Linked DNA regions of Lepisosteus oculatus. The protein of the gene in region 3 interacts with the protein of the main gene of each other region in a pairwise test. Links are inferred from orthologs where the notes say so. Each region holds a gene or a part of one and is shown on either strand. Other genes may lie near its edges.

Region 1 (7,947 bases), on a different chromosome or scaffold from region 3:
GGTTTAGACCTCTGTGAACTCACAAAAAGAAAACTTAAATCACGAATGTGCACATTTGTAGACGCAAAAAATCCTTTACATTTTTTTAAACAAAAAGAGCAGCATTAGACGAAATCTATCAAGCCAAGGTCTAACTTTGATCGAGATTCCATATTTCCATTTTCATATCAACAAAAACTTTTGCGCATTTAAAAGAAAGACGTTTTACTTTTTATCGATCCTACCAGGCATTACAAGCGTAGCAAACGAATAGTTTACACATTAATGGTGAGTAAAGTGCATTACCTAATAAAAATAAATACAGCATCTTTCTGGTCCATAATACTTTCATCGAAAAAGGGTTATAAGTGCATTCAAAACACAGATTAAACCTAATCATTGCTAGTAAATCAGCAGACTGTACAGATACAAGGGAATGTGACTGGTTAATCAAACGGCTGCATTCACAACAGGGAGGGGATTTCAACACGAAGCATTCTTGTAGTAAGCATTCAGTACTGTACATAAACTGGAGTTTTCTTTAAATTGTGAAAATACATGTTAAGAGTTACTTGCCTACTTTGGGTTTTGAGCAAATGTAACACCACATATTATGTAAACAAACACCACAAAGGTACATGAATGTGTGTACACAAACATCTTTAATATTTTATCATCTTTATCATCTGAGGCTTCACTTCACTTTAGACTGGGAATTTTCTTAAAGCCTACCAGAAAACATTTTTCAAACTCTTAAGTGTAATGCAACTCATCCAACGCACGAAATAAGACAGTCCAGTTGCTACTGCAGAAAAAAAAAACTTATTTTTGTTTCATAGTTTTATTTTAAACGTCTTAACACGACGTTCATCTATAAATCGAGGGAAAAGATTTAACACGTTATGGACCTTCGCGCATTATAAGCAAAAATAAATTACATGGCACATAATATCCCCTGAGTATTTTAAACATGCAAAACTTCTTGGGAGCACCTTTTACATCGCTTTTTCAGAATAAAATCAGAAATAGCCCATTTTGTGCTTTCTTGCCAAACATAATACAATTCGTAACGCTTTCAATGATACGTTTAAATCTGTAACGCATTCTGTAACGATATAATTAAAACTAAATCGATATACAATATACTGTATGACATCTGAATGTGGGGTTAGGGTCATCATGCGAAAGAAGCACGTCTACTGCACATATACTGACTTGATTTACATGCTATTGGACGTCGGATTACGACTTCAATTGAATTTCCACTTACTGTGTTATTTATAAGACATGAAACGTCATTATTAACCGTTGCGCGAAAAAATTAAAAAGTATTAGCAGAATAGTAAAACACATGGGAGAAAAGCACAAACTTCTGAACGTATTAAGTAGTTTATAAAATATTCCACAAAAATATCAACTGTCTTAATATACAAAGCGCACAAGATTTACTATCATGGCACTTTCCAGAGCGCAAAAGCAAAAGTGCTTCGTGTTTTAGCTAATATTTCTTAAGGAGTAAACAGTTATAGCAGGCTATATTTTACTATAAATGTTTTGAAGCACGGTTTTATATTACCCACAAAAAGTCGATACATTGTGGTTTCAAGAAACAAAACACCGCACTTTTACAACAGCAATTTTTAATTAATGCTACCCCTGCCTAATTATCCACTGTACTCCGGGCTTCAACGTAGACTGTATCGTTAAACACAGAATGCGTACCGAGAAACAGACCAAAATAACGCATTTCCCGAAAAAGAAAACATGTTATGGAAACGCTAATACATATTTATAACAGTAACAGAACAACACCGTCACAATGACTTACTGAACATCGCTGCTTCTCCGAGATTTCGGAAAAAAATAATCCACTACCCGAAAAAAATCTCTCCCAACTACAATTGATTGAATCACGCTTTTAATTGGTGACTTCAGAGAAGCCACTGATTAACCCACGTGAATCGCCTATAGTAATTTCTCATAATGCTAAAATAAGAAACATTTGACATGTTAATTCCATGCTGGATTATTTGATTCTTTTAAAAGGCACCTAAGTAGTAAAATCCTACCTTGCACGTTCACTGTTACAGAAGACCTTAAAAATAATTTTCTTTGCCCGCAAAGGCTTGCCTGCAGAAAATTGGTGGCTTCAAAAATCTAGCGATTTATTAGCCCTTAGCTACCAATCCAACACTTTCTCGTCTGTATGATGTGCAGTATCATTCCGTCTGATCTCTGTGCCCAATAAATGTTCAGCTTCCTAACCCACACCGGTGTTGGTAATAATTTCACACCACGGCTCCCGCGACCACTGTCTGTAAACGCATCAAGTGCATGAAGCCACTGCATTTGTTACAGCTACTTCACAAATATTTACACATAAAATGACCCTGTACAATGGTTGTGATGATAATATGTTTGTATACAGTCTTCCGCAGATTCAGAACATGGGTATCTCCTCATATGATAAAGCTATTCACAAGGTAGGCACTGTCTGCTGAGCAGTCAACTGTACAGTCAGACCACACGTTTCTCTTGTTGCGATCTCCAGAATACTAAAACAGCGAGCAGCGTCAACATCAGAATTCGTTTATATATATATATGATTATAAATCTCTCAAATGGAAACAACTTTGGATTTCCAAATATCATACAGTAATGTCTCATTACTTTTGCAGTGTATTTCGCAAAATGCGAAAACATCCTCCCCCTCCTGAAAGCGATCATGAAGACCTCGATTTAGCGACACGGTATTGGAGACAGTGTAACTTCTGGGGGTTTGTTAAGCGTAACATTACCGACGAGTTGGTCCTTTACACTTTTACTGTACCAACAGCAGAGCAAAAACAAATAAGCATGCAGAGTGACGGGACTGTTTGCTATGCATTTGTGTAGAAGCTGCTAGCCCGTAAGATATGTGTACTTACCTAGGTTGCACGTTAAATTTCCGAATGTGTTGTTATTGGGGCAGCAGCATAGTAACGCAACAGTTCACAGTACCCGCTCTCACACGCACTAGCTCCTCTCTGCTTTAGGGTTAGCAAATCAACACAGTGGTGACGTCACCGCACTGACTCACTCTTTTTCTTTCTTTAGCACCACAAAACGCTGCGAAAGTGAGACACCTAGGGGGCTGCCATCTTTAATGCTGGCTTTAAAAAAACTACGGAGAAAGTATTTTCGAGCGTGTGTAGATACAGTAAATTACAGAAGCGCCATGATTAGTTTTGGTGTGCTTCGCCTTTTGTTTTTTGTTTTTCAACCGGAGTTTTAAATCTGGCACGTGTGGAAATGCTCTTTTAAATAACATGCGCTACAAATGACGGATTACGGGGCTGTAAAAGAGTAATGTAACAGGCTAAAATCATTTTACTGACAGAAAAATGATGGAAAGGAATTGCGTACTAAATTTGGAGGGACGTGTTTAGGAACTAATTATGCCATACAGTAAAATGCCATCAGCCTCAGGTTTTTTTAAAATAGCACTGTCTAGACGGTGAAATAACGTTTAATGGAAAATGTTTGTGAGACTTGAATACAAAAACGTGTAAACTGTCGTCCTGAAATGATACATTTTTAAAAATATATGAATGACTATAGACTTTTAAGTACAAAATGCATGGGGCCGCGTTATGCATAACACTCAATTTGTTAAAACATAACGTGTAAGAAGCCTATAAATAAATAATTCTCACTGACGCCAAATAAACAGGTGAACAATGTTTGTTTTTGCAGATCATTAACAGGCATTACAACTGCCATGTATATAACACACACGCTGCAAAAAAAAAACCCGATTTATTAGCAATATTTAAGTCATATGTTGCGCGTGTTAGATTCAGTGCAGCACATTTAGCGGACCTTAATCAGATGTTTCAAATGATGTACAGATCCCGTCAATAGAAGTCAATACTCCGTGCGTCGTGGTGAGCAAAAACTGTATTTCAACATCACGCATGTGATCCGCAACTTCATAATTGTAAGTGAATTCCTGACAGTACCCCGCTGTCACGGACACGGTCTTTTGCTCGATCAGTTGCGTTTTGCAGGTCACTTGTAGCGCCTAGATTTAATTTAATTAGGCATCACTGTAACATGTAACAATGTAACTATGGGTAGTATCTGATTAACCAGGTCTAAAAACAAGTGCTGGACAGCGCTAAAGCATCGCTTCTGCCAGCATCAAATATGGAGTCGATGATCTACACATTTTAAAGATACAGCGCACATGCAAAGCCCCGATTGACATACTGTATTCAATAGTATCCTCGCTGAGTTATCAGATTTTCTGAAGCTACAAGTATTGTTCCACAAGTACTATAGCAGTTTGCTCTACACTGTATCCCGTGACAGACACGGGAAGACGCAACTGCTTAGTTGTACATCAGATTCCTCCAATGCACTGAACGTTTTGTACTTGAAAGATGAAACAATACACTGCGCCGTCCTCATAATTCCTAAAAAAAAAGTGACATAATTAGTCTTTAAATTTGACCTGCAGGTACCCGTCATTAAAAAATAGTAGAGTATGAGAATGCATAAAAAACACACCACTTTTGCAGGTTATTTTTATGGATAATAAAAATGTTCCCACCAGTAGGTTAAATGTTATTCTTAACACTTCTTTAAGTTACAAAATTACACTTAGAGAAAAGGACCCATTGTGCCAATGACTTTTTAAAATAACCAGTCTATTCATATGACTAGTGTGTTCTTCAAGCTATGAATATTCCATGAAAGTAACAGCTGATAGACTCATGTTATAGACATTGTTTTAACAATTTGAAATGCTTTCCTGGGGTGGTTTTCCCTATCTAAAATAGCTACACAGTTAAGGCTGGTGTATAAGCTGTTAGTTCTGCTTCCTTGTACAGTAAGTCTCTGTTTTAAAGCACATATACTGTATACGGTATTTACCATTAAACTTTCTACATTGCGGCATTACCCACGACTCAATTGTTTTTCCTTTGAATGATATACATGCACTGTACCCATAAATGTACTCTTGAAATGTAAAGGCTGAAGTGCAGGATACTGGCCTTAATAATGAAGCAATATTACTATCATCATCATAATTATTTGAAGTAGTAATAGCGATAGTACACCTAAAGTACAGTATGGTATTTAGATTTTAACATACTGTATAGTTTGCATTTGTATTAGTTTAACAGTCTGTTAATTGCTTTTCTAAATGATTTCCTTTAGCTAGCTGCATTACTGCATGAAGTTAAGTTTTGAACTGTGTTATTTGGGTGTTCAAAAAGGTGGTAAAGATGAAGGTGCTCTGTGTATTGTGTAAAATCTGTTTCGATAATCACAAGATAAATAACCCCGTATGCATTTTTAAACACACACAATATGCACTGTTGTGATAGAAAATCATAACCTTTTCAAGGATTCCAAAAATATACATAAGATATCAGATTGGAAATGATGGCACTGAGCAAGTGTTAGTGATGGAAAAATGCGCCTTTCATTCAATGGAACTTTAGATGTGAATATAAAGTGAGCAGCAGAGCAGTTTCTTCATAGGGTACAGATTTTTGTAAGAAAGAACACTATTTTATTGACCTATGAAGATACAGTGGCATATTATTATTATTATCATTATTGAACTATATGAACTAACTTATTTCTGGTCACACCTTTATTAGTACTTGAATACAGATTTGTGTGCAGCAGGTCTTCCTTAATTTACTGTATGTGCAGGCATTGGCCTAAAAAACATCAACTCAAGAGTATATTGTCTTCAGAGCTTCAAAACCCAGAACCACAATGCTCATAAAAAAATAAACTGTGGACTCAGACTGAAAGCCTTGTTGCTTGCTTCAAGAGCGTGACTATTAATTAATCCATACAGTGAATAAAATACTAACCAGTATTCTATATGTTCCAAATACCCATTGTTGATTATTTATGACTACCACAGATTGTAAAAAGAAATATTTAATATACATATGGCATTGACGAAAATATTATAATCTTTATTCTCCAAATAAAAAGGCAAAAAGTACTCCACCACGATTAAAATTTCAGGGTCATTCAGATTGTGGTCACAAGGTACTTTTTAACCTCTGTGCTTTGGTTTCCTGAGACTTACTTCTGGATACAGAAAAAAGGAAAGGCCTTAATCTTCAATTAATCCCTGTTTCACTGAGAGAAAGGGGATTGGTGTCTTGAAACAACACTCGGCAGCGAGGAACAACCACAAATATTCATTGTGAAGAAATCTTCCTTTCTGTTTTCTCAGGCCCTGCTTTGAAGCCTGGGGGTGGTTAATGCCGTTAAAGTGAGATTAATGCCTGAGTTTAGGACGAGTAAGGTGAGAGAGGGAGGCTGGGCTTTTTCGGCAGTTTGCCAGCCTTTGACACAGACTATGGGCCACTCTGATTCAGAGTCAGAACGAGGAGCTGCAAGATAACACCTGCTGTACACAGCTGAAGCCACTGATCTGAAAGCAAGTGCTCTGATAACACTGTAAAACATTTATCCATCTATTAATGACAATGAGGTGCAGGATTGCAAAGTAAAAGTTATGGGAGATGGTATTGGGACTCGTATTACACACAGAGAAGAAAATCTGTACTGTACATATTCCAGCTTTCAGTTATTTTGTATTATGCCGAAACTCTGCTTTCCACAATCCATTACAAACTGAGACTGGTAAGCACTTGCATAGAAAATCAATTTACCTATACAACTGTGGATTGCTGACTAATACATGTGATCCCCAGACCAAATGGTGAGATGGTAACAGGGAAAGCTTTGATCAGACCCCGACTCTCACCTTGACTACAGTGGACACCTTGAGTCTAAAGTACTTATCTATAGTCTATAGTCTGGTATGTACTTTAACTCTATATACCTTTGTATATACTGTACAGTACAAAGCAATAGGAACAAACAGCATCATATAAAATAGTTTTGAATTTGACACTGTAATCAATATAAATCAACTATACAGAGACCTCTGAAGTTTTTCTGCTTCCCTAGAGTTTAAAAGGAGGTAATACCTGGAAAACAGTCAGTAGTAGCGTGCATCATGGTGGTTAAGATCAGAGAGCTCTCTGATATCTGCAGACAATTGATCATTGAATTCCACAAGCTGGGGAACAACTATAAAAGAATTTAAAGAAAGCAATCTCTTTCCATGTAGCATCCATTATAAAAAATAAAAAACTTAAGGCTAGCATCATTGGATCAGAGGGAATCGTGAACACCAGCACATACCAGGACAGTTTAGACAAACACATAACTTCCTCTGCCACAAAGCTCAAACTTAGCCAAAAACAGAACAGCATAACAATGCCAAAGCATACAGTACATCCAGATCTACAAAGAAATTGTAAGTGCACACGAGAATGAATGTTCTTGACTGTCTATTTCACACTCCTGAAGGCAGTTCAGAAATGGAAAGCAAAGGGTCTGAAGTACCTAGAGCAATACTGCCTGGAGGAATGATCACAAATCCCTTCAGAAATGCCAAAACCTCTTCTGAATCACATTACAGAAGGCATTGTGTCAATATAAGCTATGCCAGAGGATTTATTTAATACTAACTAGTGATGTGTGAATAAATATGAATCTAAATAATTTATGATAAATATGACTTTGCTCTGTGCAGTGCTATTAAGATCACACATTACACATTGTCCAATCCATAGATCATTCTGTTATGTGATGTCTCTATTTTAGCAGACTATAAATAAATCAGAAGGGTGCTGTATAGTAATTATAAAGTTGTTTAATACAGCGGTTTGTAGCCTTTATCAACCTACCTATTCACTAAAAAAACAGAGGCTTTTTCATAGTGTCACTTACAGTCTTAAATACTTAATACTATTGAAAGGGAAACAATGGCTTTTCACACCAGACTTCCAACCTTTAATTTTTAAAACAAAGTAAAGCATCAGGGCACTGCACCTTTCAAATGAATAAAACCCCCCATCTTTTCACGAAATATTTACA
Region 2 (7,479 bases), on a different chromosome or scaffold from region 3:
TGCACCTGGAAAGTCTGCCACTGGATCTGCCCAGAGGGGGTCACTGTCTGGGCCTGTATCAAAAAAGTCCCTGGATTGAGCAGCTGCAAGTTCTGCAGGGCTTGAGGAGAGATGGTCTGCCCTGTGGCCTGAACCTGCTGCTGGGAGAGTCCCTGGATGACCTGGGCTTCACTGGTGCTCTGCGCCTGGACCTGCTGCAGCTGGATGATGGGCTGCGCCGTGGAGACCTGGATATTCTGCACCTGGTTCTGGTCCGACAGAGCCGTCTGGATGTAGTTTTCCTGAAGGCTGGAGGGATCCACCTGCTCGCTGGCCGAGGAGGAGGACGTAGCTTGATGAAGCACACCTGTACCGTCTATCGTTTCGTGCAGCTGGGAAGAGGAGGTGGTTGGCACGTACATGTCTTGGTTAGTGTTGGAATTGTTTGCAGATAGTGTTTGGGAAAGGTGCTCACCAGTCTTTTCGGAGCTGTCCGAGTTGTCCATAGCTTGGCCAGTCATGATCAACTGGCCGTCAGAGGTCACCCCTGTAGCTATGGCCTGAGCAGCACCTGAAAGCCCTAGGGAGTCCAGATCAACACTGTTGATCGGTACAAAAGTAATATTTCCAGGCAACCCCACAGGCACATTAGTAACAACCTGACCCTGGCTGTTATATGTGGAGCTGCCGAGAGAAACTCCTTGAATCTGGACAGGCCCACCAGGATGATGAACGTGCCCAGCCTGCGATATGAGGTTCTGGCTGTTAGTAAGGATGTCTGCAGAAGATGTCCCGGCAACGGTTATGCTTTGATTCCCATCAGGCATGATCTGGATCTGCCCTGTGGCATCCTGGCCCAGAGTTGCCCCATCTACCGCAGAAGTTGAAAAGCCCAGCTGTACCTGCTGGCCATCTGCAGTCTGAATCTGTGGAATCACCTGGTACTGTATATTAGGCACTGCGCTGGCAGAGGTGTCTGTTCCTGAAGTTACAAAAATCTGTTGGTTTTGCAGATTCTGAATTGGAAGAACATACTGTCCATTTGATGTTACTATCCCTGTATTCGGAATCTGGACTAAGCCTGGTTCCTCCTTTATCGTTGCTGTAGGTGCCAAGACTTCCCATCTATTAGCTGTCCCTGTTAACTGTATGGAAGTGAGATCTGCAGGCTAAAACACAGACAAAAAAAAAGGTGACCGGAGTTAATTTTCTGCCAGAAATTCCTAGTAAATGCATCAGTTGTTGTTGTTTTTTTTGTGAACTGTAGAGCAAAAAGCACTTGGCCAAATGAAAGTCATTTTTACACTAGCATTTTACTAAATGTGTTACTAAGTGGAAATCAATAAGCCGCCAGCGATAAGATAAAAAGCTACACTTTTCATGGGAAAGTCGACAGCTGGAGGGGATTTGTAAGACATCACTGATTTATTAAAGGAGTGTAGCCTATTTGCAAAAGATCTGGGTGAAAATATAGATTTCTCCTGCTCTTTCACTGCAGGAGTGAAATTATTGTGGTACTGGTTCTCTATGCCACAAGGCTTCAGCTCAAACCTATCGATACCCTGCAGAGCACTTTCAAGTCTGTGGTACTATTAGAAATGAAGGCAAGCCAAGATTTTTCTTATAAGCTGAAGGCAGGTTTATATATTGTACATAGTAGGCATAATCGAGAAATGTAACTGATCTGAAATGGTGTAGTGTCACAAAAAAAGACGAATAAGTGTAAGGGGGCAGAGAAAACGAAAGGCTGGCAGCCTTTTCAAACATAATTAAATCACGTCAGTAATAAAAGGCACATTTAAAAAAAAACGTTTCTTTTACACTGCTTAACAAGCGATTTAACAGACCTCATCACCCACTGATCGATGAATAATTGGAGGAATTAAATTCATCTCTTGAAAGAGGAAAAAAAAGCAGCATCCGGACACCAACAGGCACTTTGAACCCACGGCCATTACACACTGCTTTTAATTTCAAACCTCAGCTCGTCGCTTTATTTGTCAAGGATCAGCGTGTCGTGATCATAATGCATGGTTGGATGTTACTCTGAACACCGGGTTTGCTTCAGCACTGGGGCTGACTTAGCGCTCTGCCGGCCGTGGCTGTTTTTGTGTTTACAGTCCACGCTGCAGTGCATTTGCACAGGGCGGGCTGCTGGTTTCGGTTCGGCTACGGTTCTAGCAGCGGGGGTGACTTACCACGCCAGCGACAGCACAGCCATCCTCCTCTGGCGATGGCGACCCGATCTTGCTGCAGGTAGCTGCTAGCAGAGCGAGCGGTGACGGCTGAGTGTCCTACCCACAATGGGCGGGTTTAAAAAGAAGAAAGTGGGTGGCCGTTAGTCCGGAGCTACACAGGAAGTACGACTTTTTTTTTTACAACATCAAATTTTAAAACGTGTGAACTTCACAAAAAACACCATGCATTTACAACAAACCTGGCAGAAGAGCAAGCGAGGGGCAGCTAGGAGAAAAAATTACCTGGTTTCCTCCGCCGCCGCCGTGCTGCAGATAGTCGCTCTGACTGCTGTCCACGTCTAAGGCAGCCATTTCCTCTTGTTTCACTGGCTTTTCAGGGGCTACAGAAAGGCACAGAGAAGAGGGAAACAGAGCAAAACAAATCATTCCTCTCCACTTTCCGCTCGCCAAAACCACACTAAACAGCATCCAAACTCCACACGGACGCACAAAACTCCCAGATTGACTCCCGACAGGATCGTTTCTGTTAGGATTTCGATGCAAATTCTTTAAAGCTTTAACTTTAGCGTTTAAATCGCAACTGCTGGCTTGTGCCGCTGCTGAAAAAAGATTAAAGACTTAAGGGTTACACAAACTCACCGGTGATGGTGTGCTTGAATCAGTTTAAATGTTACGTACCAGTCATAGCGTAAATGGTTTAAATCGTGAGATTCTCGATTTATTTAAACGCCAAACATGATTATTTTAATCAAAGGCGGGCTGCGATCGGTGATTCGAGTCGATTTTTTTTCTATTTTGATTGACGGTGCGGGAAACACAAAAGGTGGGGCTTCCAGGCTTGACGGTAAAGTTTGCGTCACGCACAGGAAGTTCCGCCTTTCTTCTTTAAAGTGATTGGTTGGTGCGGATGGTTTCCTCGGTTGGCAGTAGACAGAGGGTCCGTCGCTCATTTTTTGTAGCTCGAGTGTTTCCTGTTTGTTATTCATGGAGCTGTAGGCAAATGCCAGGAAGTTGTTCAAAGAACGAATCGGCCATTAAAGTTGTTATATTGTCACGGAATGCCGAATGTTTACGTTTTCGCTTTTTATAGAGCCTAACTACTGTACAGTGATTGTGTTATCGTTACAAAATAGAAACGAGGCGTTTGTTTCTAAACTCACACTTGAACGTCTGTGAGAAAAGATTAGGCGAATTCGTCTATTTTAACTGGGCTACAGTTTAAACTACAGTTTTCAACATTGAATTCTTTTTGTTCTAATATTTTGCTAACGATTCTTTAAAATAAGAAAGCTATGCCGAATTGGTGTACCCGGTGACAGCAAATTGCTTTCTAAAATGCACATATCCTAAAAATAATATGTACACAGGATAACTGAAGCGTAAAATGTGAAAACCTGTAATACTTTAGGGTTCAATTCAGCTATGTGCGATCACGAAATCACGCTATAAGAAAGTGGTTTATGGACGTGTTGCACACCACATATGAGCTCTGCGAAGCTGCCACAGTTCTTTGGAGTCATAAGGATAGAGCTTACTCACCGAATGATACAGGCTGTCCGCTTATGTTAAATGTATAGCACACACTGGACGTTATATTACTGTATATCCTTTTGCCAACTATTTTGAAAAAATGCCTTTGAAGTTGGATATATGAAATACACGAAGTCACAGTGTTTTAGTTCAATAAATAATGCCTTACAGTCCTCCCGAATTCCACGTGCAATGTATGTTCCACCCATCAACAAAACCTCTACCACAGAGAAACAGAAGTTCAGAGAACCTGACAGTAATATACAGTTATTCCAGGCTACTCAAAATAACGTATAATAATTATTTTCAGTGCTCATTCTAGCAAACTCACTTAAGCTTACTAACCAGATATTATCTGAACAGTAGGTTCGTTTTAACTGCCAAACATATGTGGTGTGGCGACACTCAGAATATCATAGCTGCCAGTTTAATTTACATCCAAACAGAAACTGTTGTGTGTGAAAGAAAATTGAAACTAATGGTTAAACAATTCAGATATATATACGCTGGTAAGTGGAATCCATATTGGTTCTTTATCTGATGAAAAAAGAAAAACATTCCAGGCAGATTACATGAAAAGCCTTCCTTTTTTAATGGAGAACACTTTAGGCTTACTCTTTATTTTAAAAAAATGCTGTCTAGGCATTACTCTTTCTTTTAACCACATATTTGTGTCGTCTTCTTTTTTTTGTCTTCACATAAGTACCCTGTGTTGCACCCATTGCTTTCTGGGATAGGCTCTGACTCCCCCATGACCCTGAATTAGAAGAAGCAGTTAGAAGGTGGATGTCTAGATCATATGTGCTTTTACCTTTACACCTAATACTGGATCTCCCCCTATTAAGCCAGTTTCCAAATAAGTGTGTTAAGGCCATACCACGCTTACTCTCTGTAGTAATATACTGTATATTACTATATTGTACTGTGTTGAATTACCCCCCTAATCCATGTGTTGTTATTACTCCACTGCCAAATACATGCACTTATCTCTTCCTGCATGGTAAATATTTTTAAAGTATTTTGCATTATCATATCTAGTATTGCATTATTTTGCTGTCTGTTTTATATATAAGTTTATGATATTGATCTATGCAACTATAAGTTCACTTGCATAAGGGCTTCTGTTAACAACAAGACATCATCAATGGTATCCTCGTCACCGATGGACAACAGTATACTTCACTGGCAAATTTGACAAATATTATGATTTCTGTTTTGACCGTAGTAGCCAGCACGTCAGGGGTGTGATGACAGTTTGGTGAATGTATACTTCCAAATCATGTAGAGGAACACATTAAGTGCTGCATGAGGAAACAGACTTTATGATATCCAGGTTGTCACCCTAGTCATTAGACTGTGATACCATGGAATAGGACATTTGGCCTAAACTTTATTTGGACTGATTCTGTGACCCATCACAGAAGGATCAGCAATTTCTTACAGCTTATCCCGAACAGGAAAAATGAGGATTCACACTGAGATCTGATTCTGAACGCATTGAAGCAATGTGAGATACTGTCTAGGCAACACCAGAACTCTGCAGGAGCTGTAGGACAACATTGTCTGGGACGGAGCTCTAACAGCAAGATCAGCCTCACACTTGTGGGATGTGGTTGCTTCCTGAGTGACTCCCCAAAAGATGGCGCACAACTGACTGAGCGTGACTAAAGGTGGTATGTGAGATTAGTCAGCATGGGTTCTCTCTCAGCTCTCAGTGACACAGAGCCCCCCCTCCTCCGCCTCTTTTGCAGGCATGGGGTTCTGCTGCTCGGGTATGTGCCTCATCTCCAATCGGTGCTGAACCTCCAGTACAGGATTGTGTTGCTCACGTTGTGTTAAAAGACAAATCCTAAAGATGGATGTGTCTGAGGAATCTACCTACAACTGTGTGCAGCCAAACAATTTGCACTTGCGATTCAGACTTGTTAAATAAATGTTTGTCTTTGTATGTGCTCTGCCAGTTTTGTGTTGGTATAACATAATTGGCATTTCTACATGTATGAAGTAGGTTTGTAAGGGTTTCATCAGGTGGTACGGTGGCTCTGTGGCTAAGGATCTGCGCCTGTGGCTGGAAGGTTGCCGGCTCGTATCGCGTAGCTGGCAGAGGAATCCTACTCCGTTGGGCCCCTGAGCAAGGCCCTTAACCCCAACTGCTCCAGGGGTGCTGTACAATGGCAGACCCTGCGCTCTGACCCCAAGCTTCTCTCCCTGTCTGTGTGTCTCATGAAGAGCATGCTAGGGTCTGTGGAAAGACTAATTCCTAATACAAGAAATTGTATATGGCCAATAAAGTGATCTTAGGTGTTTCAAACTGTTTTCACTACATCCTGAACGTATACAAATACATAGGAAGTGAGACAGCCTAAAAAATGTGCTCATGACCAAACATGGAAGTGAAATTTCACATGCATGGAGGATGTAGTGCCATCAATTGTTCTCAAAGTCTCTTCTCTTTGTTTTGCACTGAAGGTTAAACTGCATATCAAGAGCATGTGCCATTCAATAAATTCACACAGTATTCATGAAAATCCTGATCCCCAGCAAATGCTTATTAGCAGATATTTCATCAACACTTCTTTACTCTAGCCACAACGCTTTTATATTATCAAAGGGTAACTGAGCCCTCAAGCATCTATATACAGCTACTGTATGTTAGTGTGGAAAATACCTCATTTCATTTTAATAAGCGGACCTTGAACTAAATGAACCCAATGGTATACAACGCCATACTTCACTATAAAAACTATAAAAAAATACAACCCAATTTGCCTCAAGTATCCTGCATATAATAGACTATACATTTGGAGTTTTACTGAGTGGAAACATATGCCTTAATTCAGATGCAGGATTATACAAAACACTGTGTTGGAGTTAATCAACAGGCCTGTTGATGATACTCAGTGGCTAGTTGGTATCCTGAATGGCTTTCTCCAAGACTTCATTGGTAGATCGGGTTGTTTAAAAATGACAAACCAAATAAGCAGTTCTGCATTTCAAAATCATCAATATTCCCTACAACAAGCTTTTTTTGTTCCTAAACAGAACGTTTGACATATTTACATGTATTTGGCATTATTGGAGTGACGCATGCAATTATAGTTGCAATTGTTTTTTAGTTTCTTCTATTGTAGTAAGCAAGATGAGGGAAATTGTGCTTAGTATTGCAATTATCTTGTGTCTTACCACATAGCAAATATGCAGAAATAATAGATAAATAGAAAAAAAAACATGCCTGCATCTCCATTTTGTGGAAACCTTAGACACAAATGCCCTGTTTTCATCTGTTACCAACAGGGAGTCTGATTTCAAGTTACTATGTGGACATATTGTCTCAGCCACAATTCCCATCAGCAGGGCGTAAATTTAAATTTTTTCCAACAAAGACTATGGGGCATCTGGTATTGATTTACATATTGTTATATGTCCTTATATATTTCTGTATGTACACAGGATGAGTTCCCATGCATATACAGTATGCGTTCCTTTAAAGTAAACTACGAGTAACTGATGTTCTTTGGAAAAACAGACCTCTTTTTAACAAACCCCAAGATTCAAAATAAGCACTACTGAGCATCCTTCATGCTGTGTCATTTCCTCTGATATTGTGATGGGAACAGAGTGATTTCATCAACCTGCAATTCAGGCTCTGACCATTAGAGTCGGACTACAAAGCACTTCCCTTGCGCTCAGGGGCTCGTGGAAACAAATGACGGATACTTCTAATCACTTTCCTGTCACTCCTGGTGGCAGGTGAAATCGGGGTTGGGAGGAA
Region 3 (7,661 bases):
TCTAGACAGACTGGGAAGACAAGGCAAGAAAAAGTATGGTCAGACTCCAGACAAAGAAAATGTACTGTGGTAAGCTGCTAAAAGCATCCATTCTTAATCATTGAGAAACCCAGTGTCAAAGTAAGGGTTATGTAGAAACGTTTGGGCTCCCCCAAAGAACAGCAGGAATCAAATGATAGTTTTGTTGCATTGTGGGCTTTTGTAACAGGGCATCAAAATAGAAGTGTTGCAGATGTTACCAATAACGTCAAACCAAGAATTGAAGGAGAGTCTGTGATGGCTCATTCCACTATTTTAAATGGGACATTTAAGACAGACTTTGGCCTTTAACCATGTACCAATTATCAAACCTTTTTTCTAAAAAAAAAACCTTTATCAGAGGGACTAATCTAACCGTATTCAGTTTCCCAGAATTTTGCTGGTAAGGAAATACTTTTAACAGTTTGAATGTCTGCACAAAGTGCATTTTAATGCCTGTTTTAAAATGTTTTACTAATCAAGCATGTATCGGTAGTAATCTTCAGGTTTCTTGTTTGTAAATTATATTACAGTGCCAACATATCAGAAATATTGGATGCCGCCTTTATTAATGCAAGGTGACCGATTTTGTAGTTGTACAGTCTTGTCTTTCAACCACTGCAGTAAGTGTATTTCTTGTACAAGTTCTATCACTGGTTGTTGTACCATATCTGACATTTGTAATTATGAAATAAAACACTGCCGTTTGTACAAAATAGCTTCCCTGTGCTTTATTTAAACAAAGCTATTTCAGTGGGTGCTTCAGCCAATTGAATTTTATTTGCTGTAATGCTATGATAGACTCAAGCTTTAAATTTGCTCATTTTGCTTCCCAGTAATTAACATGATTGACTACTTGGAGAACTGTTCTTGAATTTAACGTTTCACACAAGGGATGGCTTGTAACCCATGATGGTTACATAACCATCAGTTTAGAAAAAAATAATTTCTAGTTTCGAAATTGTACATTAGTTATTCTGTTTTGTGGAGTAAAATGTGTATCTTGCTGTGCAGCAGAGTGGGAATATCACAAACATGACCAATTCACTGTATGACAAAGCTGAAGGAAGATGCAGTTTTGTGGTAAAAATGAAATCACCTCATAGGCACACTGCTAACCCTTTTTGTGAGTCCAGCTTTTATCATTAGCTTTACAAAAATGATCTTTTCTCCTGTAAATGTAATGTACAATTCTTTTAACCAAAAAAAAAAATCTCTAAAAAACACTATTACAACACAAAAGGAAAAAAAAAAATGTTTGGATCCAGCAACAAGTAAAGATTCTTATTTTTTACAAGGTGTTTTATCAATATATATATAGGCAGCTCTCCCTAAGTGAGCATAAAGAGATTAATCCATCCATTTTCTAACACGTTTCTAACAACTGAGGGTCATGGTGGAGCCAGAGTCTACTGGTGAGCAACAGACACAAGGGAGGACACACCCTGGATGGGAAGGCAGTCCATCGCAGGGCCATAAAGTGATTAAAGCTGCCCAAAAATAAACAGCTGAATTTCAGATTTAGCTGAGAAAAATAAGGTAGTGTGTGAATTGTCTTTGGTGGTTTTAAAAAAGTATGAACTATCCTGGTGTCATGTACTGGTGAAAGGGCTAGTAAAATATATATTTTTGACAGTGCTGAAAACGGAAACATCTCTTGTTAAAATTACTTATAAATATTACATATTTAAAGAGGGGAAAGGGTTGCCTCTCACCCCTTCTATACATTCGGCTTGGCTGCCATTATACAATGATAGACCTTGTGCCTTGCAAATGTATTCAGACCCTTGCTCAGTTTACACAGTTGGATTTAAAGCTTACAATCATGACACTTTCAAGTAGAAATTCTTGTCTCTTATACAATCTGCTCCAAACACTAAAGCAAAAAAAGGAAAAAAACAGATAAATGAAAGAAAAATGGTAAAGTTATGATTGCAGAAATATCCCAACACTAGCTGTGGCAAACCTAAGTTAATTACCTTAACAAGACACAGAATTAGTTTAGTAGTCTCAGTGTGTATGTAATAAAAGCAGTTCACATGATTTTCAAATAATAGACCTGTCTCTGTAAGGTTCCTTGGTCAGGTAGTGAATGGATCATAAAACCGAGTATTTTTCTAAAGAACTCAGGAATAAATGTGTGTAAAGTAAAAGATTGGGAGATAGGTATAAAAACATATCAAAGACCCTTAATATCTCTTTGAGGATCGTGAAGTTGATCATTAAGAAGTAGGAGGCACCCAGACACTGCCTAGATCAGGCTGTACCTCCAAACTGGAAAAGGAAAAAAATAGTTATGGATTCCAGAGTGAGGCCAACAGTGATTTTGAAAGAGCTTAGATCAGAGAAAATGTCCATGGGTCAACAATATCCCAGCCAGTCCACAAAGGGGCTTTGTATGGATCTTTTAATTTACATCTCCAATCTCACATGGGATTTCCAACAATGCACCTAAGGGACACTACAAATATACAGGACAATTGCAAAGCAGTGCATATAATGCAAACCCAACTGCAATACACAGTCAACACCATTCCCTGCGTCAAGCATGGTGGTGACAGTATTATGTTATGGGCCTGCTTCTCATAAGGAACTGAGAAGACTAATGGAAAATGAATGGACCAAAACAGAAGAAAACCTGTTTCAATCTCATAAAGACCTAAAACTGGGAGGAACATTAGCCTTTCAGCAGGAGAATGACCCAGAATGCAGGGCCAAAGTCTTAGGAATAAGAACGTTAATGGAATTGAGTGGCCAGTTCAGAATGTCAGTAAGCACAGTTGGTGGGGGCTAACCCAAAAAGAACTGCAGTTGTACTTGCTGTCAAAAGGTAGCCAAGAATAGCTGTAATTGCTGCCAATAGTTTCTACCAAATATTGAATTCATGCATCCTTGAACTGAGGTTACCCACATACCACCATATGATTCTCTTCACCAGGCAATTGTGGACCTTTCATCACAAACCACTCATGCTGTTTATGACCTAGATAAAAGAATACTGCTTTAATACTATAATGCTAATGCAAAAAAAAATCTGTTATTTACTGCAACATAATTTACCATTAGAACTTTTCTGTCTAAGCATTCAAATTTGAATACATTATCAATTTAAAATGTGTTGGATCATTTTATAATGTCAAGACCATAGGGGGCTGTGCGCTATACACATTTGCACCCCTAGCAAAGAACTGAAATCTGTGTTGGAAGGACTGAGTGTAAATGCTCGTCAATCGTTCTATAGCATATTATGTTTTCATAAATGTAAATAAATGCATTTGTTAATAATAAAGGCTTGTTGTGTTAAAGTTCACCTGGACTATATTACTGTCTTATTTTTGAGTCCCATCCAACAGGGGTAGGAATAGACGAGGTCTGGGTTCTTTTCTTGGCTGCAGGCTCTTTAGGTGTGTAAAAAGACTTAAAGGACGTTCCCTCTGTGGAAAGAATGTCACCTACAAATACTGCAATCAAACAGGTTTTTTTTAAAAAAACCTGAAGCATGCATTTGGAAAATTATACCAAACCACTGGAGTACGGGATGCTATTCAAAGCCCTGGCTAATAAATATGATTTCCCTGAACAGATAATCATACAGATACATTTTTTTACCAGATCTGCTAGGTAATTTGAAAAGAAGTGTACAGTGCCTTGCACAAGTAGTTAGACCCTTCCTGTGGTTTTCCATCCATTTTGTAACTGCTTTACCCAATTCAGGGTCACAGGGGAGCCAGAGCCTGTCCCACCAAGCAAAAGGTGTGAGGCATGATTCACCCTGGATGGGATACCAGTCCATTGCAGGGCAGACACAAACACCCCTACACTTAGGACCAGTTTTCCCAAAATCCAATTGATCTAATAGAATGTCTTTGGAATTATGGGAGCACCCAGAGAAAACCTGCATGAACATGGGGAGAACATATAAACTCCACACAGATAGCACCCCAGGTCTGGAATTGAACCCAGGGCCCCAGAGCTGTGAGGAGGCAATGCTAACCACAGCACTACCCTGTATAAAAAATGTTCCTATTAAACATATTAATTGATATATCAACTGACCACTGACATTTGCTGTATTGTGCCGTTTTCCCCCAAATGCATTTGAAAGTCCCTGCTACTTACTTTACCGTCCACAGGGACATCCCAGATATGTGATGCAACATGCCATTATTTCACTAGCTAGCCACCACTATCACAAATTCATCGAAATATCCAGATCATGGATCCAGAGTACTACACACGAGAGTCGAAGCTCTGCTTTTGTGGTTTTCAGTACACGTACCACAACATTTGTATGATAGGACAAAAGAGAAATTTCTCTTGACAGGACAGGAAGCTCATCTCCACACTTTACTGATTACCAATCTTCAAACTAATTACCATCAACATCAGATCAGAAACCTGTGGCCTTAAGGTCATGTTTTTTTGGGTAAAAAGAGGGATTTATTTTGCTGTTCAATAAAAATAATACGGTGACCAATCAGAAGGCAGCCTCCCAGCAAGAAAACTTCGTGGTACATTCAGCCTCTGAGCCGCTTTGGTAAGTAAACCCACGCCGCCCTCTTGCCGAGATGAAGACAGCCCCGGTCGTGTTATTGCTCTCCCGTCCTCTCAATCAAACACAAGCGGCTCCCGATCAGCCACTCACAGCGCGGCTCCCCCTCAAGCTGTCAGGGAATATACTTCCTTGCTAGGAGGGAGGCTGATGGGATGCATCAAAGATGGCTAACAAAATTGGATATAACAGCAACTAAGTCCCATTCATTTAAATGATAGATTTTTAAAAACCGTAACGAAATCCCCGTGACAGGTGGGGTGTCGCGGAGCCCAAACCCGTGGCTGGATTTAACACGCATGAAGCGCGTAGGCCGTTCCCTTCCTTAACGTCTTTGCGTTGCCCCGCTGTTTGTGTTATTTGTAAATATTATTCCTGTTAAAATGGCCACCATGGAGAAACTGATGAAGGCCTTCGAGTCTCTCAAGTCATTCCAGCAACAACAGGGACCACCATCGGCCGAAGAGCTAGTTCAGAAACAGTAAGTACAGAGCAAGCGAGGTGACGAGACCGGGCACTGAATGGCGGTGCCCTGGGTTGGTGGGCAGCGTAGCAGTGATTGAACAGTCGAGATCAAGTCATCGTAAATTACTTGGAGTTGTCCCTACGGGTGGTGTTTGCGGCGGTTGCGTACCCGATCGCTGTAGGTGCATCAATAATAAATGCACACAAACTCATCTGCCTTGGAAAGCTCTTTCGTTGTTGGTTTGTAAATACACGGAAAGATTAGCCAAACTCCCTACTACATCGTAAACAGCGAACGCAGTCGTACCTCTGGTTGCTCCTGGTGCAGATCCCAGGGAATCAAGTTAACTTAGAGTTTTCTTGTACAAAGATCTGTTTGAAAATCGATTTTTTTTATATACAGTATGTAGTTTTCGGGGCAGGGGTGGCTAGATAATGAAAGTCGGGCAGTTTGTGGTGTGGCGTAGGTGTCGGTGATAAGCACAAACAGGTACAGGAGCTGCGAATTTCAAAACACAGTATTGCAATGACACAGTTGTATTGATATATGTTAGTCATAATAGTTAAAAGATAAAAAAAACGTCTGTTAATTCAAGATTTAGGATAGATGGCACTTTGAAAACATTATCTGCTGTGCAATACTTCTTAAAAATACATTCTGTCAGTGAATATTTCCATAGTTTTTAAATTCCGCTCATGTTGTATATGCAGCACTATACGGTCCTATTTTGGTTTGTGCAGTGTATGAAAGCTACTGTTTCTGTAACATCGGTGCAAGACATGATACAGTTACAGTTTTTAAGTTTACCTGTAGCATGCTCTGCCAGGTCTATATCACTTTTGAAACCAGTTACGAGTGTCTCAGCCTCAGAAACTCTGCTGTATCAATGATGTCCTGTATAGATAAAATCTCTTAAATAAGTGATTGTACACGGTGCAAAACAACTCTACCACTCACCCCTAGCTCTTACACATGTAACCTACATAAAATTAATTCTCATTCCTCCATTTTCTAACTGCTTCATCCAATTCAGGGTTGAGGGGGAGCTGGAGCCTATCTCAGCAAGGTGCACAAGGTGGGGTATATTCTGGACAGGATGCCAGTCCATCACAGGACAGACATGCAGACATACTGACACTCACACCAGGGCCAATTTTCCCAGATGCCAATTAACCTACTGTGGTTGGAAACATGAGTACCCAGAGGAAACCCAGATGAACCAGGGGAGAACATATGAACTCTGTGCAGATAGACCCCCAGTTTTGAACCCAGGGCCCCAGTACTGCGAGGCAGCAATGCTAACCACTCTGCCATTGTGCCACCCACACAGATAACACTCCATGTCCGGAATTTAACTTTAACAATATAGATGTTGCATCAGTAGTCTGTGATTTCACGGGATTGGAATATGTTATCCTTCTTCACCGTACTGGAAACACTAAACAATGAAAGGTCTTGTGACTACTTTATTAAATCTGTGTAATCATCCATCTCGGAGATGTCATTCTCATTGAACAGGTTGCTACTGACCCCTAGATAACTAAGAATGTAGTGTTGTACATATACAGTGCAACAATCCACTACTACAGTAGTGTAGCAATGCAAGGCTTTTTGTGAAGGTGCAAAGTATTCACACAACTTCAACTTAGTCGTTGAATAGTATATTGAAGGAATGCATGGGATGTGGAATGCTTTGTGACATTATACAATCGAGTTCTTAAAGATAGTGACTGACAATTCAGTACATAGATCACAGAGCTCAGTTTGCTAGTAATTTCTTTGAGTTGCGTTTTGCTTTGTGATACTCAGTGCCACAAAGCATATACTGTACAGGTAAAACTCTGTGTTGTTACCTTTTAGTATGTAGAAAACAGCTAATATAATTTATAGGCTGTTCCTTTTTTCAGATACCTAAGTATGTTGTTTTATAGAGGCTATTCCAGTGCCTTCCAAAAGTATTGAGACCCTTGCACAGTTTTCACATTTTCTTGCTTTAAAGCTTGCAGTGACTTTAGTAGCAATTAATATTTGTTTAATATACAACCCACGCCCCGCCTTCAAAGCAAAGAAGAAGAAAGAGTTAATGGATAATATGAAAGAAAAACAGGAATAGTAATGACTGCATAAACATTCAAAACCATTGCCGTGGCAAATCTCAGTTAATCTAGGTGCACAAAATTACTTTAATGAGACAAACAATTAGTTGAGTGGCCATTGTCTAATGGTATGATATGAATAAATATAACTCGGTAAGGCCCCTCGATCAGGTAGTGAGATAGATAAGACTTTATTGATCCCAAAGGGAAAAGGAAGTGTTACAGCAGCCCATCCCAAGACAAGCAAAAACAGACATCAGAACAGATGAAAAATTAAAATACATACAGTAATATAAAATAAATGAAAACATTTCAGATACCCTAATATCTCTGAGCCTGGTGAGGTGGAAGGCCCCCAGACACTGTTCCTTCCAGTCGGAGGAACAAGGAAGAACAGAGTTAACCACGAGGCCAACAGTAACCTTTTCAGAGTTGCTGAGCTCTGTGGTCGAGATGGGAGGAAATGTCCAGGAGTCAACTATATCTTGGTCAGTCCACAGAGGAGGCTTGTGTGGAACCGAAAGAACAC
Region 4 (7,707 bases), about 2.4 Mb from region 3:
AATGTGCATAATCATGTAAACTGTTTATCATGCACAAACCTATGGTGCTAGTTACTAATCAGCAATGCTATAACCTAGGCCTGGTACCAAATTCTTGCCTTTCTCTTCAAATTTGATCTGTCTATACATTCCAAGTATTTTGGTGTATTCATCTCTTTTAAAGATGACCATGTTCTTGAAACTTTGAGGTTTGCTGTTTACCAAGCTATAAAACTGTTATGTATCTTATTGTGTATGTCATTTACTGTTTATTTCAGCAAATTCTTATAGTACTATTTGTTTTGTACTATTTATAACTGTTTATTAGAAATTGCCACTTACCTAATATTACACTTATTTTCTGCTGCTTCCTTTTACAATATAAACATATGGTGCAACGTGTACAAAGTTTATCAGTATGTATATATTTCATGTTTTTCATGGGAAATCAGTTCTAAAATTGACACTATATTTAAGATTGAAGTATTAAACATTTAAAAACATTTAGGAAGCATCTTATTTCAGCAGAATATCTTGCCTCTTGCTACTTTGTTAACGTAAACTATGAAGTAGGCTTAAATGTTAAAAGGTTTGATGAGTTTAAGTATTCAAATAAACATTGAATGGTTATAAGACAGAAGAAGCTTGGATCAAAAATTAAGTGGGTGGTGTATAACATGAGCTTTATAACCAATACATTATTTTTAAAATCTCAGCTCCTGTTTTCTTATAGGGTTATTTATGCCTTTACATTGGTATTAAGCATTTATAGGGTGCTTACGAACACTTGCCTTTTCACCTAGAAACAGACTTTACCAACTGAGGACAGTGACATTCATCACATTTCCAAGGTGAGACTAATACTGAGGAGGAAACTCAATAAAAGGTGTTAGGGAACAGTTTATAGTGCAAGTTTATGTGCAGTTATACACACAAGACACACATTGAAAAAACATGCATTGGATTAAGAACATACTGTACAGATTGCCCAGTTTATGAACACAGATTTCCCTTAAAAATATGTAATATATTGCACATAATGAAAAATCCAGAGAGCATGAACTGATTGAAATTAAATACTGAATTGTGGGCTCTTTATAAAATTGAAAAAGTTTTGTATTTCACAGTCATACTGTAAGCTGTTTGTTTGTTTTTTTCCATTTTTAAAATACTGCACTGTGATACAATTGTAGTATACTTTTAATCACTTGCTTGTTTCTATTTCATAAATAATTTGTTTTTCATTTAAGCATTTGGCACAATCAGCCTAGCAGATATCTTATGAATGGATAACTTTATGTATATATAGTATATATCTACTAATTTAACATAACACTAGAAGGAGAGTTTTTGCTAATACTGGACAGAATGTCAATTTATTTAATGGCATGTCAGTGAGATCCTTTGGAAATCCTTTAGTGCCTTATGGAGGCAGAGAGGGGGCAGACCATAGGATTATGCTTACTTGTTACAGTAGTGTCCAATTTCAGATCTAACCAAATACAGCAGGGTTAATTCCAAAGATTTTTAATCCGCTTTGCTCACTTATTCTACAACCATGCTTACCTTATCGAATTAAAATGACTTTTTATGTGTTGGAACTATTTTCATATTCATTTAGTTTAATGTACGTTTTATTTCTAAAAGAAAACCCTTCCTACACATGGAAAAAAACAATGACAAGAACTTGAAAGTTATCCCCTTTGTGCCTTTGGGTTTTTAGTTAAAGGAGCACCATAATACATCTGTATGATGTTTGTCATGATTTTGTCAATCTTACAGCTCTTACTGTATATTGCAACCCAAGGCCTTTCACTGTGTATAAATGTCTAGACATGCAATGTGTGATTACAAAAAGCATTTACTTTTGTTAAGATTAGTAGTAGAGTGAAACTATATGAGCTTTCCCTTGGGTTTATGCTCTGTGTATGGTAGCTTTATTATTAATACTTGTATTTAATTGTAAATACGCGAACAATTATCTTGTTAATACAAATGTATTTTTGTATTTTAAGATGTATTGATTTCTGTAATATTTGTAAAAATTGTAAAAAAAATAAATTTAGTAGAAAAACATTGCAGCATGAATTGTTTTATTTTTCTTTACTAGAAGCACACACAGCATTTTTAAATATTTTTCAGGCAAAGGTACATTTGTGGTATTTTTAATAATTGTCCACAAAATTAGCCCTCCTCAGTACTACCAGTTAAACTTTGAATAACCCATACATTTATATTATTTTTGCTTACTTTATGGTGTATTACATCTGGAGACAAGGTAATTCTTATTAGCAGTTTATGACTTAAGGAATATGAACTACTGTATTTACAAAAGACCTCAATCCTAATGTTTTTCATTTAAGTTATTTACGCATTTTAATAGTCGCTCTAGTCAATTAGCCAATGAACCTGGAAAAGATGAATGTAAGAGCTGAAAATGTGCCTAAGAAAAAAAGTGGGATTTTATGTACATCCTCTTCAATTATATCCCTTTAAATACAGATACATTATTAGATGTCATTGTGTCAGTCCAATAGCATCTATTCGTGTCTAGAGACAAAACAACTTTTTTCTTGTTAAGGAACATGAGACAGCTTACTGTACATCTAGCCTATTTGGTTGCTACTAAAACATTTCTTTAAAGACACTAGGGTATCAGCTTTTACAACATGTTTAGGTGGCTTGTTCCAGACCTCCATTCCTTTGTGCTAAAACTACCTGCTTATCTCAGTTCTAAATATACTTGTATATTTGTGTATTAATATACCTTTATTCTGTACTGTATAGTGAGGCTTCTGATCCAAAACTACTTCCTTCCAATCTGTTGCTGCACTGAAATTAAATGAGTGTACCTACTGGTGTGTGGACCCCTTTCCAAAGATGTCCAACTTTCTAATTGCAGGTGATGTGTAATATTTAACGAAAATGTGAATGCTCAAACTGAACACTCTTAAGGGTGAAAAAATGAAAAGAAAATTATTTTGGATAGGGGTAAATGGTAAATGGTGTAGTTTTACATTGGAACAATGACAGGGGAACAATTCATCTTCCATTGGAATTGAGTATCTGGTGCATGGAAGTAATTCTCCATCAGCAGCCTTGCTATACAGCAGAGAATACAGGTATAGAACAACAAGATTCAAGAATCAAGATTCAAGATTCAAGATTCAAGATTTCTTTATTTGCCATATACAACAAGTGTATTGGAATGCTTACTTGTTTGGCTGTACCAAATAACATTAGAGAAAAAAACAAAAAATAGGCACAAATGACAAACAGACATGGACAATAAATTTAGACAATAGATGTTATAATACAGCCAAGACAGGATACAGTGCAAACAGTGCCATACCTTAAAGTGCAGGTGCAAATATATGCAGGTGCTAATTTGAGCTGTTTAAGATGCAGACTGCTTGGGGGATGAAACTGTTTTTGAATCTATTCGGCAGTGTTCTTATACTGCGATACTTCTTATAACAAGGAGATCACTCCTTAACAAAAAGAATGCTCCCCTACACACACACCCTTCTCCATTCCTTACTTAAGAAAAGCATGTAACTTGTGACAGCGTGGCTGGGAGATACACTAGTCAAACAGCATGTCCTGTTGCTCACTGAGGGATATCTTTTTGAAAGGACTGGAAAACCAGGCTTTTTCCCTTATTACCTTGTACAACAGTCATTATTTGCTGTACTGTACAGTATATGATTGTTATTATACTATTATGATTAAAGTAAACATATTAGATGTGTGCTCTAGTTTTAATATTTGTGCTGTTCGTTATTTAAATGACATGTTTCAATACATTAAATGTAAAGAACATAATGAACTTTTTTTAAGTACTGCTCAGTCATGTAGTAAAACAGTGAAGTGCCTTCCAGGCCTGGTTACGTCAGCTTTAGCTTGACTTGCTTAAAAATGTGAGATAACATAACAGCCTGTGGTCATTGAGAGTATGAGTGGAATAATTCTGCTTTAAATCAAGTTTTTTAAAACTAATTTATTAGTAGTGTTATTTCTCTGGTGTATGTTATGTTAAAAGTATCTTTGGCTGTGAATCATTGAAATGGGTCTCGGAAGTCAAGCCAAGAACCTTTGTAATAGCAGCTACTTGTACATCTACTGTATGTCAGCCTTTAAAATGCAGAAGTCTTAATTAAAGATAATAAAGGTCACAGTTCTTTGTCCAGTCTCTTTCCTCATCATTTTAATATAACTTAAATGCAATAGATTTTAAAACGTCCTTTTTATTGCCTTATTTCAGCAAAAAGCTTTTGACAGTAAATTATTTTTTTTTCTATGCCATCATTGATCCACACTAACAAAGCCTGACTAGTTCAATTGACCAGTGTAGAAGAAAAAATTAACCGCATGCGGTTTGCTTGGACAGTAGTAACACGACTCTCTAAGGATAAAGCTATTAATCAAAATGGGTGGATATTCCTGTACTAAAGCCTACATTGCAGTACCACGTTTAAAAGCTTAAAAAAATGTGTGTGGCGCACGCTAAAGGCAAAACTACAGCAAGTGCTGATGGACAGCTCCCAGTGTATTCCGATATACAGTAACTATGTGAGACAACCAGCGATGTGTTTTGCGTTTGCAATGACAGATCGTTGAGGTTTGAGTCATCTTGGCGTTGTAATTTAACCAGTCATCAGCTGTGAATAAAGACTGGTGCAGACAATGCTAAAAGTACGCAGTAGCAAGACGTTTTACTTCCGTGTCAGTGCCTTACATGCCTTACATCTACAGTAGTATTTGCCACCGCTACATACGTATAAACTCACATCCACCTTGCAACTTTACGGTTGGGGCTTATTTTAAAAGAAGGCGTTTTTAATCGTTCACGACCATAAGCTTTTCATCCAGATTGAAATTCTTGGTTGGTAAATGAAGACACCTGCATGCTATGGGTATAATTGCATTAGTCGATTAAGGATTATTCGTTGAATTAAGTTTTTGTTGTTATTTTTATCATTCGTTACCATCCATGTGCTTGTAAACGGAGTCGTCTGCAAAATGAGGAAACGGTTTTCTGGACCGTGGGTATACATCTTTTAACCGTTGTCGTGCTTTGTTCCTGCTCACTGCAGCATCCTTTTCTGTTAACGACAGGTTTTGCGCTTCAAAGAACTGGGAAAATATTTTATTCTGCAACTGTTTTAGTGCTTGGAGCTGCTTTTTAGTTTAGCTAATTGGCCATGTTCTTGAACAATCGATAGACTGTTGCAAAGCGGTTGATGTATAGCAACTACGTTCTCCAGCTGGAGCCAGACTTCGGCGCAAACTGGTATTTTTCCCTCGAGTTGCGCTGCTCCAGAGGATCAGTGCATTGCAGTACTCCTTTGTAATCGCCAAGGTCGAACAGGAATACTGGATTCGCTGTCTTTATAAATCAAATTGCAGCTATTTGTGATTGGTTCTCAGCTGGCGGTAGCGGTGACCAGAGGAGCGTGTTTTATTTTTGGAGCTGATCAAATTTACCGCATTGCTTCTTTTTCATTTATGGTTAGCGTTTCCTGATCGGATTTGGATTTTCCGTCTGTTGACTCGCATTGGGATGGCTGAGCGTAGGAGAAACTGGAATAAAGAAGATGACTTGCCAGTTTACTTGGCCAGACCAGGTACCACTGCACAGACCCCGCGGCAAAAGTCATGGGGAATGTTTGCTTCTGTGGAGGGGGCCTACGAGAACAAGACCATAGATTTCGATTCTTACAGCGTAGGGAGGAAAGGGAACCGTACCCCGAGGAGTGGAAGCCGGGAGATGCTGGAAGGGGACAATTTCAGCGAGACAGCTAGTGATGTGAGCGAGGTCTCCGGCTCGATTATCAGTTCCCCCAGCGACAGGGACGATAAGACCCTGGGAGTGGAAATTAAATATCCAGCTGGCAAGGAGTTACTACAGGGACAGGAAAATGGAAAGGTAGGATACAAATCCATTACTCTAGGACTTAAAAGCATAAATCCTACTCATACTGTATACTGACCATGAAAGATTGCATGTACTGTGTTATCATAACTGTTTCTCACGTGTTCTTTAAAACCCCGCTCTTTATTTATAACCAACAGAAAACGTAATGATACGATTAATATAAAATTCATTCATATTTAATTTGTTGCTTTTTTTCAATACAACAAGAAACACTGTTTTAAAAAAGTTCGCATTTGAGCTATTACCTAGTATGGCTTTGGCATTTGTAAACCAAGACAGCTGTGGTTTATTTTTTAACTTCACCTTACTTCAGGCACAAACAAGGTTTTCGGTGTATTATCGCTGGTTCCATCCTTATTGCCGAAATGAAGCTGTTTGGTATTGATGCAGTACGGACGCATCGCTTAGCGTCTTCGTACGTTTTTTTCCTGACCCTGCTTGGATAGTTTGAAGCAATGTGAAGGTTTTGATATCACAAAATAATTGCTTCTTGCTGCTTAATCTAATTAAGAATTTTGGTCTGTGATATGGCTTCAAATTTTTTTAGAGAACTAGAAGCCATTATACCTACTTTATGAAGATACAGATGTCTTGGTTTTGTGTTAGAAAACTTTTTAATGCAGTAATTCACATTGATTAATTAGAAACTATAAAAAATGCATGGTAGAGTAGCTTCAATTGACTTTAACGTAAGATTGTGAGAATGCCTCAGTTTAACTTTTGAGACACAGTGTTGTAAAAGCGTACATACAGTATGTGCAATTAACTTAAAAGACTATTGAAGCAGACAAGGCGTTTCTTTGTCTACCAATTTGGTAGCACGTAGTATGGTGTGAAAAAATCTGCATGTATTCATTCATACAAAGGCCACAGCATGATACCAAGTGCATGGATTTCAAGAGTAGTATTTTGCTGTCTCGTTTTTTAATGGAAAAAAAATGTAAGATGCAATAAACAGAAGCCTAGGATTTTGATTCTTTAGATTATTATTTCGTTGGATGAATTCATTTTCACATACAGCTTGACAGCATGCACGTACAGTATACTGTACTTCCATACACTTTCGACACTAGTTTACTCTTATTTGTTAAAGGCCTTGTGTATTTTTTACGTGTTAATGACCTTTTAGATTACTAGAATAATTTAAAGCTTGTAGCACTGCAATATTAAGAACTGAAAAAAGCTGATGAGATTTTCTGTATTACAGTACTTTCCTCAATTAAATATCTGTGGCTACAATAATATATTGATCCCTTTTGGTGGAGTGAGCGTTTCGGTTTAAACGCAATCTTCAGTTACATTGCAGGCTACAGTATATGCTTAACAATGTTTTCAGAGGTACGTCAAATTCACAATACCAATCAGAGCAAGTCAGCTATTTACTCATACTTTGGTGGCAACAAGATAAAGGAAGTGTTCAATACTGCTATTTAAGTTAACCATGAAGGAAAAAGATACCTAAAATTCAAAATGAAGTCTTGATCTACTGAGGTATTTTAAACTGGGTTTAGAAGCTACAGTATTACCATTTTATAGTAGTACAGTAGCTGCCGTACTGTACTGTATGTCGACTGTCTCCTTTGCCCCTCGCAAACGTTCAGGTTTTATGATGCAGAGGGCGCTACAGCCCTTAGTTGGAGCTCTAGATACTGTAGCAACTCCCCGTAGGGAGATTCGTCCATCTATTATTTGCTACATAAAGGTGGCAGATTTACTGATCATAGTGAAAGTGGGTCTAAAAGGATCTGGTGATTTCTTTTAAAAAAATTCGATCGTTATCTTGAATATCC

The links.
Region 1: the proteins of htt (region 3) and zbtb16a interact in binary tests that used the Homo sapiens proteins (3 or more experiments, as listed by UniProt). The link is inferred for Lepisosteus oculatus from reciprocal best matches to the Homo sapiens genes HTT and ZBTB16.
Region 2: the proteins of htt (region 3) and transcription factor Sp3 interact in binary tests that used the Homo sapiens proteins (3 or more experiments, as listed by UniProt). The link is inferred for Lepisosteus oculatus from reciprocal best matches to the Homo sapiens genes HTT and SP3.
Region 4: the proteins of htt (region 3) and dihydropyrimidinase-related protein 1 interact in binary tests that used the Homo sapiens proteins (3 or more experiments, as listed by UniProt). The link is inferred for Lepisosteus oculatus from reciprocal best matches to the Homo sapiens genes HTT and CRMP1.

Annotation. Positions count from the first base shown.
Region 1 is NC_090718.1:9,937,883-9,945,829, reverse strand, and holds the start of zbtb16a (zinc finger and BTB domain-containing protein 16-A), read right to left. Parts: upstream 3,017-7,947; 5' UTR 2,907-3,016; intron 2,539-2,906; exon of another isoform or gene 2,049-2,538; intron 1-2,048. UniProt on the Homo sapiens protein: Acts as a transcriptional repressor. Transcriptional repression may be mediated through recruitment of histone deacetylases to target promoters. May play a role in myeloid maturation and in the development and/or maintenance of other differentiated tissues.
Region 2 is NC_090707.1:16,898,810-16,906,288, forward strand, and holds the start of transcription factor Sp3, read right to left. Parts: upstream 3,001-7,479; 5' UTR 2,863-3,000; coding exon 2,856-2,862; exon of another isoform or gene 2,817-2,855; intron 2,558-2,816; coding exon 2,460-2,557; intron 2,274-2,459; coding exon 2,178-2,273; intron 1,149-2,177; coding exon 1-1,148. UniProt on the Homo sapiens protein: Transcriptional factor that can act as an activator or repressor depending on isoform and/or post-translational modifications. Binds to GT and GC boxes promoter elements. Competes with SP1 for the GC-box promoters.
Region 3 is NC_090696.1:40,625,951-40,633,611, forward strand, and holds the start of htt (huntingtin), read left to right. Parts: upstream 1-4,650; 5' UTR 4,651-4,953; coding exon 4,954-5,051; intron 5,052-7,661.
Region 4 is NC_090696.1:43,014,001-43,021,707, forward strand, and holds the start of dihydropyrimidinase-related protein 1, read left to right. Parts: upstream 1-4,707; 5' UTR 4,708-5,542; coding exon 5,543-5,908; intron 5,909-7,548; exon of another isoform or gene 7,549-7,707.